Callithrix jacchus: one gene and its partners. The protein of the gene in region 1 interacts with the protein of each later gene in a pairwise test. Links are inferred from orthologs where the notes say so. Each region holds a gene or a part of one and is shown in the gene's direction. Other genes may lie near its edges.

What was found. The genes of interacting proteins can lie anywhere in the genome.
Region 2: the proteins of PTK6 (region 1) and CCDC33 interact in a two-hybrid assay, tested with the Homo sapiens proteins (2 studies listed by BioGRID and IntAct). The two-hybrid records come from large-scale screens. The link is inferred for Callithrix jacchus from reciprocal best matches to the Homo sapiens genes PTK6 and CCDC33.
Region 3: the proteins of PTK6 (region 1) and FCHO1 interact in binary tests that used the Homo sapiens proteins (3 or more experiments, as listed by UniProt). The two-hybrid records come from large-scale screens. The link is inferred for Callithrix jacchus from reciprocal best matches to the Homo sapiens genes PTK6 and FCHO1.

The regions. Positions count from the first base shown.
Region 1 is NC_133506.1:59,026,431-59,029,947, reverse strand, and holds part of PTK6 (protein-tyrosine kinase 6), read left to right. Parts: coding exon 1-147; intron 148-984; coding exon 985-1,146; intron 1,147-2,962; coding exon 2,963-3,144; intron 3,145-3,517. UniProt on the Homo sapiens protein: Non-receptor tyrosine-protein kinase implicated in the regulation of a variety of signaling pathways that control the differentiation and maintenance of normal epithelia, as well as tumor growth.
Region 2 is NC_133509.1:21,176,525-21,180,041, forward strand, and holds part of CCDC33 (coiled-coil domain-containing protein 33), read left to right. Parts: intron 1-429; coding exon 430-596; intron 597-972; coding exon of another isoform or gene 973-1,074; intron 1,075-1,608; coding exon 1,609-1,695; intron 1,696-2,712; coding exon 2,713-2,826; coding exon of another isoform or gene 2,827-2,910; exon of another isoform or gene 2,911-3,517.
Region 3 is NC_133523.1:16,516,340-16,520,261, forward strand, and holds the end of FCHO1 (F-BAR domain only protein 1), read left to right. Parts: intron 1-1,254; coding exon 1,255-1,310; intron 1,311-2,584; coding exon 2,585-2,958; 3' UTR 2,959-3,422; downstream 3,423-3,922. UniProt on the Homo sapiens protein: Functions in an early step of clathrin-mediated endocytosis. Has both a membrane binding/bending activity and the ability to recruit proteins essential to the formation of functional clathrin-coated pits.

The DNA.
Region 1 (3,517 bases):
CTGAGCCTCTGCCTCACTGGGACTACTGGGAGAGGCCCAGGGAGGAGTTCACGCTCTGCAGGAAGCTGGGTTCTGGCTACTTTGGGGAGGTCTTCGAGGGGCTCTGGAAAGACCGGGTCCAGGTGGCCATTAAGGTGATTTCTCGAGGTGAGTGGGCCCCGGCCAGGGCTCTGCCTGGCCCCGTGCCCGCCTTGGGCTGCCCTCTTGCCCCCAGGGACCTCCAGGCTGGAGCCCCACGGACCAGCAACAGCATCCGTGTGGGAGCAGTTCCCTTTCTAATGTACCTTTGCTTTTACCTAAATACAATTATTAAAAAAATTTGTCTGGGGGCGGTGGCTCATACCTGTAATCCCAGCACTTTGGGAGGCTGAGGCGGGTGGATCACCTGAGGTAGGGAGTTCGACACCAGCCTGACCAACATGAAGAAACCCTGTCTCTACTAAAAATACAAAAAAATTAGCTGGGCGTGGTGGTGCATGCCTGTAATCTCAGCTATTTGGGAGGCTGAGGCAGGAGAATGGGTTGAACCCAGGAGGTGGAGGTTGCAGTGAGCTGAGATTTCGCCATTGCACTCCAGCCTGGGTGACAGTGTGAGACTCCATCTCAGGGGAAGAAAAAAAAAAAAAAGAAAATTAAAAATCCTGGATGTAATGGAAAGCCACTCAAATAGATCCCTGGAAATCTGAAAAGCTTCCCCTGAAATCACCTGGGCCTCAGCAGAGGTCTGGCCTCCATGTCAGAGGTCTGAGCCTGGGGGGGCTGTGTGGTAAGAGCAAGTGGCCATCATGACCCCGTGGGAGCGCCGGGCTGGGGGCCTGCAGGGCTGGCTGTGATCACCATCATCGTGGCCTCAGGAGCCAGGTGCCTGGGGCTGGAGGTCCATGTGTCCTACACAGCTGCTGTGGGTGGGGGCAGGGCCTCGGCCTCTTCCTTGGTGCCTGGGGGTTCAGGGACTGCACCCACCGAGGCCACCTGTCCCTGCAGACAATCTCCTGCACCAGCAGACGCTGCAATCGGAGATCCAGGCCATGAAGAAGCTTCGGCACAAACACATCCTTGCGCTGTATGCTGTGGTATCTATGGGGGACCCCGTGTACATCATCACCGAGCTCATGGCCAAGGGCAGCCTGCTGGAGCTGCTTCGCAGTGAGTGGCACCGGCGCCAGGCGGGGCACATGAGGAAATGAAGTGTATGTCCCCTCATGTCTATACGCATACGCACACACAGACACACACACAGACACACATGCACGTACAGATGGCACTGGCAAGCCCACCCCCCATGCCTATACACACACACTCAGATACACATGCGCACACACAGACACACACGTACACACACAGACATATACAGACACATACAGATGGCATTGGCAAGCTCATCCCCCACACCTACACACACACAATGTACACACATGGACACACATGCACACACACAGCCACATGTGCACACTGATACACATATACACACAGACTCAGATGGCATTGGCAAGCCCACCCTCCACGTCTACACACACATGCACACAGATACAGATGGCATTGGCAAGCCCACCCCGCCTATACACACACACACTCAGACACACATGCACACACAGACACACACACAGACACACACAGATGGCACTGGCAAGCTCATCCCCCACACCTACACACACACACAGACAACGCACACACATGCACACAGACACACATGCACACAGACACACATGCACACAGACTCAGATGGCATCGGCAAGCCCACCCTCCATGTCTCTACACGCACACACTCACACGATGCACACACACATGCACACAGACACAGATGGAATTGGCAAGCCCACCCCCAACGCCTACACACACACACACACACATGCAGTCATACGCACACACACACACAAACTGACACACACAGATGGCATTGGCAAGCTCAGCCCCCCACTCACACACACATTCAGACACAGAGACACAGACACACATGCACACGCACACACAGACACACAGATGGCATTGGCAAGCTCACCCCCCATGCCCATACACAAACACACACAGATGGCATTGGCAAGCTCATCCCCCATGCCTGCACACAGACAATGCACCACATGCACACACACAGGCACACATGCACTAACATGCACACACATACTAACACGCACACACAGACACAACACACGCACACACATGCACACACAGACATGCACACACATGCACACACAAACACAGATGGCGTTGGCAAGCCCATCCCCCTGTCTACACGCACACATGGAGAGACACATACACAGATACAGACACACACGGACACACGAATCACACTGGCTCAAGGACATCATCATCTCTAAGTTCCATTATTTTTCTTTCTTTGTTTTTATTTTTTTCTTTCCATTATTTTTTTTTAATCACTAAAACCAAAGACACGGGCTCCAGGGAACAGAGAGGCCCCTCGTGAAGGTGCAGTTTGGCTTTGGACCGTCACATGGGAGGGGACGTGGTGGGGCAGGAAAAGCTGTGTGTGCCTGGGGAGAGCTATGCTGACACACCACTCACAGTTGAGCTCTGAGCCAAGGCTCCATACCCTCATCCTCACACAGAGGGCTTGATCATCTCAGTCCCCATGCCAGGCAGGGCTCTCCGGAAACAGAACGCCGCACGCTGCTGTCACTCAGACGTTCTCCCGAGTTCCCACTACGCACATCCCTCGGCAATGAGCGTCTCCAATCGGCAATGAGTGTCTCCTCCTGTGTCCAGCTTCTCCGTTGCCATCGAAAACCTCCCCAACCAGGATCTGCTTCTTGGTTCCCCATACACAATTGCCTTCCAGAGGGTGGTGGCTGGCCCGAGGTTAATTTTAAACCAGGCCAGCTCTGCCCTTTGCCCCAGCCGGTCCTCTGAGCCCGCAGAGCCTGGAGGCAGATGGGACGTGGCCTGGCCTCCACCCCGTCCTCACCCCAGTGGGCTCGGCTGACCCCAGGCTCCACCCCCTCTGCAGACTCTGATGAGAAAGCCCTGCCTGTCTCGGAGTTGCTGGACATTGCATGGCAGGTAGCCGAGGGCATGTGTTACCTGGAGTCGCAGAATTACATCCACCGCGACCTGGCCGCCAGGAACATCCTCGTTGGGGAAAACACCCTCTGCAAAGTCGGGGACTTCGGGCTAGCCAGGCTCAGCAAGGTAGGGCCCTTGGAGGGCAGGGGCAGAGGGCTCAGGGCTTCCTGTGTGGAGCAGGGGACTCAGCCAGGTGCAGGATTTGGCCCCTGCCCTCGGGAGCCCAGGCTGAGCAGAAAGGTGGGAAGCCGAAGCAAGTTGGGGGGGTGTCCCCATTCCCAAAGGAGCACACAGCAGGGCCCACCATGCAGCCACTGCCTTGTTCACGTGCCTCGTTCACTGGCCCAGCCCAGGAGCCTTCCAGTTCCTGTGCCCCAAGCCCTCTCATCCTCATGCGCCTGGAATCCCAGGGGAAGCTGCTCTCCTGAAGGCGCTCAGGCCCCAACGCGAGCTTAGCCACAGCGGCTGATGCCCTGTGTGTGGGTCCAACAGTGGGGTC
Region 2 (3,517 bases), on another chromosome or scaffold:
TCACTGCTGAGGGTTTCAGGGGCAGGAGGGTGTTTCTAGGGACCTTTAGAAAGCAATGAAAGTTGGGCTGGCCTTTCGGGAAGCCTGAGGTCATCCAGGAGTCTGGATGAAACTGAGGAGGCAACCTAGGGAGGGAAACAGCCAGATCAAAGGCCCAGGGAGTGAGAAGAATGCCAGGAACAGAGAAGGGAGGAAGAGAGAGAAGTGAGGAGCTGAAATACATCCAAGACAAATGAGGAGTTAACAAGAACGTTGGGGTCAGAGTCTAAAGCCTGTGTGTACCTGATCCAGCTGGCAGTAGGGAGCCATTGAAGGCTTGGGAGCAGAGGGGAGGAGTGGCAGAGTGAAGTAAAATGCTGGGGCAGATCAGCACAGGGATGTGGGAGGCAGGAGAGCCCATCTCCCCAACATCGGTGGCTGTATCTCTAGGCTTCCCTGGGCTCTCAGCCTCTGGCCTGCCCCTCGGTTCTACGAGAGAGAACCTGCCGCTTGAACTTTACTCTGTGCTGCTGGCAGAAAATGCGAAGCTGCGGGCAGAGCTGGATAAGAACCGCCACCAGCCAGCCCCCATCATTTTGCAGCAGCAGGACCTGCCGGTAAGAAGCCCTTGGCCTGGGCCTGCCTGTGCTGGTCACCGGGTGCCCAGCAATCACCCACAGTACAACCCAAGTTGAAGATCAAGACCAGGAGCTAGGCCTCCTAGGGTCTCCAGTCTGCCTAGCGACTCCTATCAGCTCTCAGGCCTTGCTCTTTTTCTCCTGAGAAATGTGTATACCCGAACTCTTCCCTTCTATCCTCATCTAGCGTCCCAGGAGAAAGCAAGCCGATTGTTGACCCTTGGCCCCCAAACTTTGACCCCTTTGCCACCTGGCTGGCCTCCACCTGGATCCTACACAGGCCTCTTAAAACTCCCTTCTGGAGCAGAAATTCCCTGATCTTGGTGCAGCCTTGGAGAGCCCTTTTCCATCCCAGGTGGACCCCAGGGAGTTGGGAGCAGGAGGAGACTTGGCAGAGAGGCTGCAAGAGACGCATGGCCTAGGCCACTCCAAGTGCACACAGACGCTGCCTGCACAGGTGGGTGGCCCAGGGCCCAGAAACACCCAGGCCCTGCTCCACCTCTGAGGTTGCTTCAGGTGCCCCCTACTTTACATAAACCCAAAGGCAGAACATTTGGAATCACAGAAGATCGAACAGGGCAGGGGCACAGGAGAATTTTCTCTCCATCCCAGGACTCGCTGGAGGTGAGTTCTGTTTGAAAGCCCACATGCCATATGGACATCCAGGTAAAGTGTGAGGGATGAGGTCAGCTGCTTCACAGCTTCCTCACCTCACCCAGAGGCTCCCAAATGCGTTTTACATTAAAATATTGTTGTGTCAAAACTTCATATTTCCAAAGTCTGTGCAGGAAACAGCTGTGAAAAAAGCACATGCCAGACCCCTGCTCTGAACTTCCAGAAGAGGGTTGGGCCCAGGTCTAAGGCCCGCCTCGGGAGCTCAGTCTGAACTCAGAACTGACTGGTTTCTCCCCCAATACCTTGCAGTTTCCCGACCTCACACCGGCCACAGCCCTCAGCTAGGGCCAAACTTGAGTTTCCGCTTTGCCCACAGGATCTCCTCTCTGAGACTTCAGACAGGTTCAACCTCCTGGCCAAGCTGGAACGAGCTCAGAGTCGGATCCTGTCCCTGGAAAGCCAGGTGGGGGAGATGCAGGGGTTGATGAGGCTGGACCAGGCTCACCACACAGCCTATGACCAGGGCTCAGTAAGCTCAGTCTATGACCAGGATCAAGGCTTAGTGTGTGACCAGGGTCAGGGCTCAGTGTGCAACGGGGTCAGGGTTCAGTGTGCAACTGAGATCAGGGTTCAGGGTACAACCAGGGTCAGGGCTCAGATACAACTGGGGTCAGGGTTCAGTGTGTGACCAAAGCCAGGGAGGGTTCAGTCTGTGTCCAGGGTCAGGGCTCAGTGTGTGTCCAGGATCAGGGTTCAGTGTGTGTCCAGGGTCAGGGCTTAGTGTGTGACCAGGATCAGGGCTCAGTGTGTGACCAGGATCAGGGCTCAGTGTGTGACCAGAGTCAGGGTTCAGTGTGTGTGTGTCCAGGGTCAGGGCTCAGTGTGTGATCAGGGTCAGGTTTAGTGTGTGAGCAGGGTCAGGGCTCAGTGTGTGACCAGGGTCAGGTTTAGTGTGTGTCCAGGATCAGGGCTCAGTGTGTGTCCAGGATCAGGGCTCAGTGTGTGTCCAGGATCAGGGCTCAGTGTGTGACCAGGGTCAGGGCTCAGTGTGAGACCAGGGTCAGGGTTAGTGTGTGACCAGGGTCAGGGCTCAGTGTGTGACCAGGGTCAGGGTTAGTGTGTGACCAGGGTCAGGGCTCAGTGTGTGACCAGGGTCAGGGTTAGTGTGTGACTAGGGTTAGGGCTCAGTGTGTGACCAGGGTCAGACTCTCTATGACCAGAATCAGGGATCAGTGTGCACTCAGGATCAGGGCTCAATATATTGTTGAAATGTCCATCTGTGTCTTGTCAGGCTGCCTGACTATCTGGCCCCCTCACCCTCATCCCTGCCACCCCGAGGTCTCTTGGGAAGGTGTCAAGCCCACATGACCCAGAGCTTTGCATTCTGCCTGGACAGCAGGCTTAGGCCCTGGTTGTCCTGGCCATCAGGGATTAGCCCTGCTGCCCATGATCCTCCAATTATTCCTATCTATGCCTGCAGTTAGAGGACTCAGCTCGACGCTGGGGACGAGAGAAGCAGGATCTAGCCACACGGCTGCAGGAACAAGAAAACGGTTTCAGGCATCCCTCGAACTCCATCCTCACAGGACAGCCTGTGAGTGACCCCCCTGGAGGAGTTCCTGGGGGTTCAAGTGGTGGAGAAGGAAGCCACCCCACCCCCAAAGTCACTGGGCCCTGAGAAAACCACTGCGGGGCCAACTCCAGGATTGGGAGTCAGGAGTCCTAGGCTCCTGTTCCTGCTCTGTTACCAACCGAAGGCTTGGTCTCAAGTCCCACACCTGTCTGAGTAGAACAGAAAACCCCTGCCAAGACCACCCCTTCCCCCATGGAGTGCTGTGAAACTCGAGGAGATGACGGTGGGTGAGGGGCCACGCTGGCATCTCCGGGATGCCCTGGCTCTGGGAGTGCTTTAGAACTGGCTGCACACATAGGCAGAGCGGCTTGCGGCCCTACCTCCCTGACTACACAGAGCCTCAGAAATTAGCACACCCTTCTTAGGTGGCCACGATGTAGGCTCCACTTTGCCGACTTCCCAAGAACAGACAGGCCTGCTCACAACGGCCCCTCAAGTTCAACCCCAGGGCTGCCCAGCCCCGCAAAGCAAAGACCCTGATTTCTCCTGCTCTTGAGATGGCTGTGCTTTGCCCATGGCCAGAGCTCAGCAGCAGCTCCTGGGAAAGGATGAGGAATCAGGCAAGGAGCAAAGGCTACCTTTACACACTCACCTGAGCCCTGGGGGATCCTGGAGAAAACAGGTGTCAACATGGCGAAATGGGTTTAGAAAA
Region 3 (3,922 bases), on another chromosome or scaffold:
TAACCTCAGGTGATCCACCCACCTCAGCCTCCCAAATCCAAAGTACTGGGATTACAGGCATGAGCCACTGCACCCGCCTTCCAAAAAATATTTTAAAAAGTAGTCAGGCTTGGTGGTGTGCTCCTGTAGTCTCAGCGACTTGGGAGGCTGAGGCAGAAGGATCGCTTGAGCCCAGGAGTTGAGGCTGCAGGGACTTAGCCTGGGTGACAACCGTCTCTTTTTTTTTTTTTTTTTTTGAGACAGAGTTTCGCTCTTGTTGCCCAGGCTGGAGTGCAATGGCACCATCTCAGCTCACCGCGACCTCCGCCTCCCAGGTTCAAGTGATTCTCCTGCCTCAGTCTCCCAGGTAGCTGGGATTATAGGCATGTGCCACCACGCCCAGCTAATTTTGTACTTTTAGTAGAGATGGGGTTTCTCCATGTTGGTCGGGCTGGTCTTGAATTCCTGACTTCAGGTGATCCGCCCACCTAGGCCTCCCAAAGTGCTGGGATTACAGGTGTGAGCCACTGTGCCTGGCCAGAACCCTCTCTTAAAAAACAAAGATTAGGCTCTCACCAGCAATCCCAGAACTTTGGAAGGCCGAGGCGGGCGGATTACCTGAGGTCCGGAGTTCGAGACCAGCCTGGTTAATACGGCAAAACCCCATTTCTACTAAAAATACAAAAAATTAGCCAGGCATGGTGGCACATGCCTGTAACCCCAGCTACTCAGGATGCTGAGGCAGGAGAATCGCTTGAATCCGGGAGGCAGAAGAATCGCTTGAATCCGGGAGGCAGAGGTTGCAGTGAGCTGAGATCGCACCATTGTGCTCCAGCTTTGGCAACGAGGGTGAAACTCTGTCTCAAAAAAAAAAAATTAAGAAAAAAAGGTGTGTCTGTTGTAAAGAAGCCAGATTTATAGGACAGAATGCATCTAAAAGTGCTGCAGGGAGGCTGGGCGCGGTGGCTCACACCTGTAATCCCAGCACTTTGGGAGGCCGAGGCGGGTGGATCGCCTGACGTCAGGAGTTTGAGACCAGCTTGGCCAACATGGTGAAACGCCTTATCCACTAAAAACACAAAAATTAGCCAGGCATGGTGGTGGGCTCCTGTAATCCCAGCTACTCAGGAGGCTGAGGCAGGAGAATCGCTTGAACCTGGGAGGCAGAGGTTGAAGGTTTGCTGGGGTCACACAGCCAGGAGGCAGCGGAGCTAGGACCCGGGGCTCTCAGCATCCTCTCTGGAGAAGCCCTGACGGAGACTCTCTCATTGCCAGGAACCTGGAGGAGAAGCGGCTCACATGGAGGCTTCCAGATGTGTCTGAGGCAGGGGGTGAGCTTTGGTTGTGCCTGAGGGCCTGGGGGGAGGGCCTGGGGGGAGGGACTGCGGTCAGGTGGGTGGCCCTTATTTGCACTCGGGTAGAATTGGGGTATATGGGGTTCCGACACGGGCACTGAGGAAGGCTTTGGCAAGCTGGAGGAGGGCTGGGCGGGTGCTCTGCAGTGTTCACTTGAGCCCGGGAGTTGGAGGCTGCAGCGATCAACTCACGATCGCACCGAGGCACTCTAGCCGGGGCAACAGGTGCCAGACTGTGTTCTAAAAAACAAAGCAACCAACAAAAAACGCCGGCGCAGTGGCTCACGCCTGTAGTCCCAGCACTTTGGGAGGCCGAGACGGGTGGATCATTTGAGGTCAGGAGTTCTAGATCAGCCTGGCCAGCATGGTGAAATCCTGTCTTTACTCAAAATACAAAAATTAGCTGGGCATAGTGGCAGGTGCCTGTAATCCCAGCTACGGGAGGCTGAGGCAGGAGGATCACTTGAACCCAAGAGGCAGAGGTGGCAGTGAGCCAAGATAGTGCCACTACACTCCAGCCTGGACGACAAAATGAGACTGTCTCAAAAAAAAAAGCTGGAGGAGGGCACAGTTCTGTAATCCCAGTGCTTTGGGAGGCCCAGATGGGAGGATCACTGGAGCCCAGGAGTTAGAGGCTGCAGTGACCTATCATCGCACCACTACACTTCAGCCTGGGCGACAAAGCCAGACCCTGTCTCTTAAAAAAAAAAAAAAAAACTAGGCCGGGTGTGGTGGCTCACTCCTGTAATCCCAGCACTTTGGGAGGCTAAGGCGGGTGGATTGCCTGAGGTCAGGAGTTCAAGACCAGCCTGGCCAACATGGTGAAACCCCATCTCTACTAAAAATGCAAATATTAGCTGGGCATGGTGGCGGGCACCTGTAATCCCAGCTACTTGGGAGTCTGAGGCAGGAGAATCACTTGAACCCAGGAGGCGGAGGTTGCAGTGAGCAGATATCTCACCACTGCATTCCAGCCCAGGCAACAGAGTGAGACTCCATTTCAAAAGAAAAAAAGGTGGAGGTGAGGGTGTCCCAAGTCCAGATGGGCAGACACAGCAGGTGCAAAAGCCCTGAGGCAGGACCCCCCGTGCCAGCCACACAAAGCCCAGTGATGCCAGGAGAGATGGATGCAGGGGACGGAAGGGACATCTGATGAGGCACATGAAGGCCTCGGAACAAAGGGCTTCAGGCTGGTTCACAGCTGGGCCTGGGGCCGAGGCCGGGGCACAGCTGACCACAGGCCTCCCCAGGCTCTGGCCGCCTCTCTGCCAGCTGGGAGCCGCTCTCGGGGCCCAGCACACCCAGCCCCGTGGCCGCACAGTTCACCAGCGAGGGGGCCACCCTGTCGGGCGTGGACTTGGAACTCGTGGGCAGTGGGTACCGCATGTCGCTGGTGAAGAGGAGGTTCGCCACAGGTACTCCCCAACCCTGCTGCCGGGGGACCCCAGGAGCCGGGACCTGGCTAGGGACAAGCAAGCCCCGGGCTGGCTGGGAGGGGCGGGGTGTGGAATCCGTGGTAAGGACAGGTGGGTGTTGGGGCCAGGAGACCGCAGATGGGGGCCACAGGTGGGGAAGGAGTCAGGGCCCCATGTGTCTTGGGCTGGCCTCTGGAGGACGTCCTTGAAAGGACCCAAGCCAGCCTGGTGAGATGGCTCATGCCTGTAATCCCAGCACTTTGGGAGGCCAAGGCGGGTGGATCACCTGAGGTCATGAGTTTGAGACCAGCCTGACCAACATGGAGAAACCCCGTCTTTACTGAAAAAAAGAAAAATAGAAAAAAAATAGCTGGGTGTGGTGGCACCTGCCTGTAATCCCAGCTACTTGGGAGGCTGAGTCAGAATCGCTTGAACCGGGGAGGTGGAGGTTGTGGCGAGGGCCATTGCACTGAGCCTGGGCAACTGGAGGGAAACTCTGTCTCCAAAAAAAGAAAAAAAAAAGAAAGGACCCAAGCCAGGGAGCTCAAAGTCCCCCTGCCACCCCCTCCTCCTGCCCCACCCTGCCCCCATCAAGGGGCTCCTGGGGCCCAGTGGCAGGAGGGACAATGAGTTATGGGGGTGTTTTGAAGAGGACAAGGATGATTGAAGCATCACAGGGTGGGAGCAGGGGACCCCTCCGGCACCCCTCCTCCATGCCCCTCCCCTGCACCCCTCCGGCACCCCTCCTCCCTGCCCCTCCCCTCCCGTACCCTCCTCCCCCCTCCCCCCTCGCCCCCCACCCGTCCTCCCCGCCCCTTCCCCTCACAGCCACGCCCCCACAGGGATGTACCTGGTGAGCTGCTGAATCCGCAGACGCTGCTGTCCCAGCTCTGCACTGCGCCCTGGTGCTGGTTGACCGCCCCCTGCCCTCCAGCGGGACCCTGGGGCCTCCCACCCCAGCCTCCCTGAGGCCCAGACTCTGCGGAGAGGAGCCCCACGCCCAGCCTGGCTGAGCCTGAGATTCACTCCTCCCCCTCATGCCAACCCCACACAGGTCCTGGCCTTTTAATGTTCTTTGAATAAACACTTTATTTTCTAATAAAATCAAAAAGGAAAACTATTCCTGCTCCATGAAGTGTCCTTTGCGTTGTCAGAGACAGGAGGAAGAGGAGG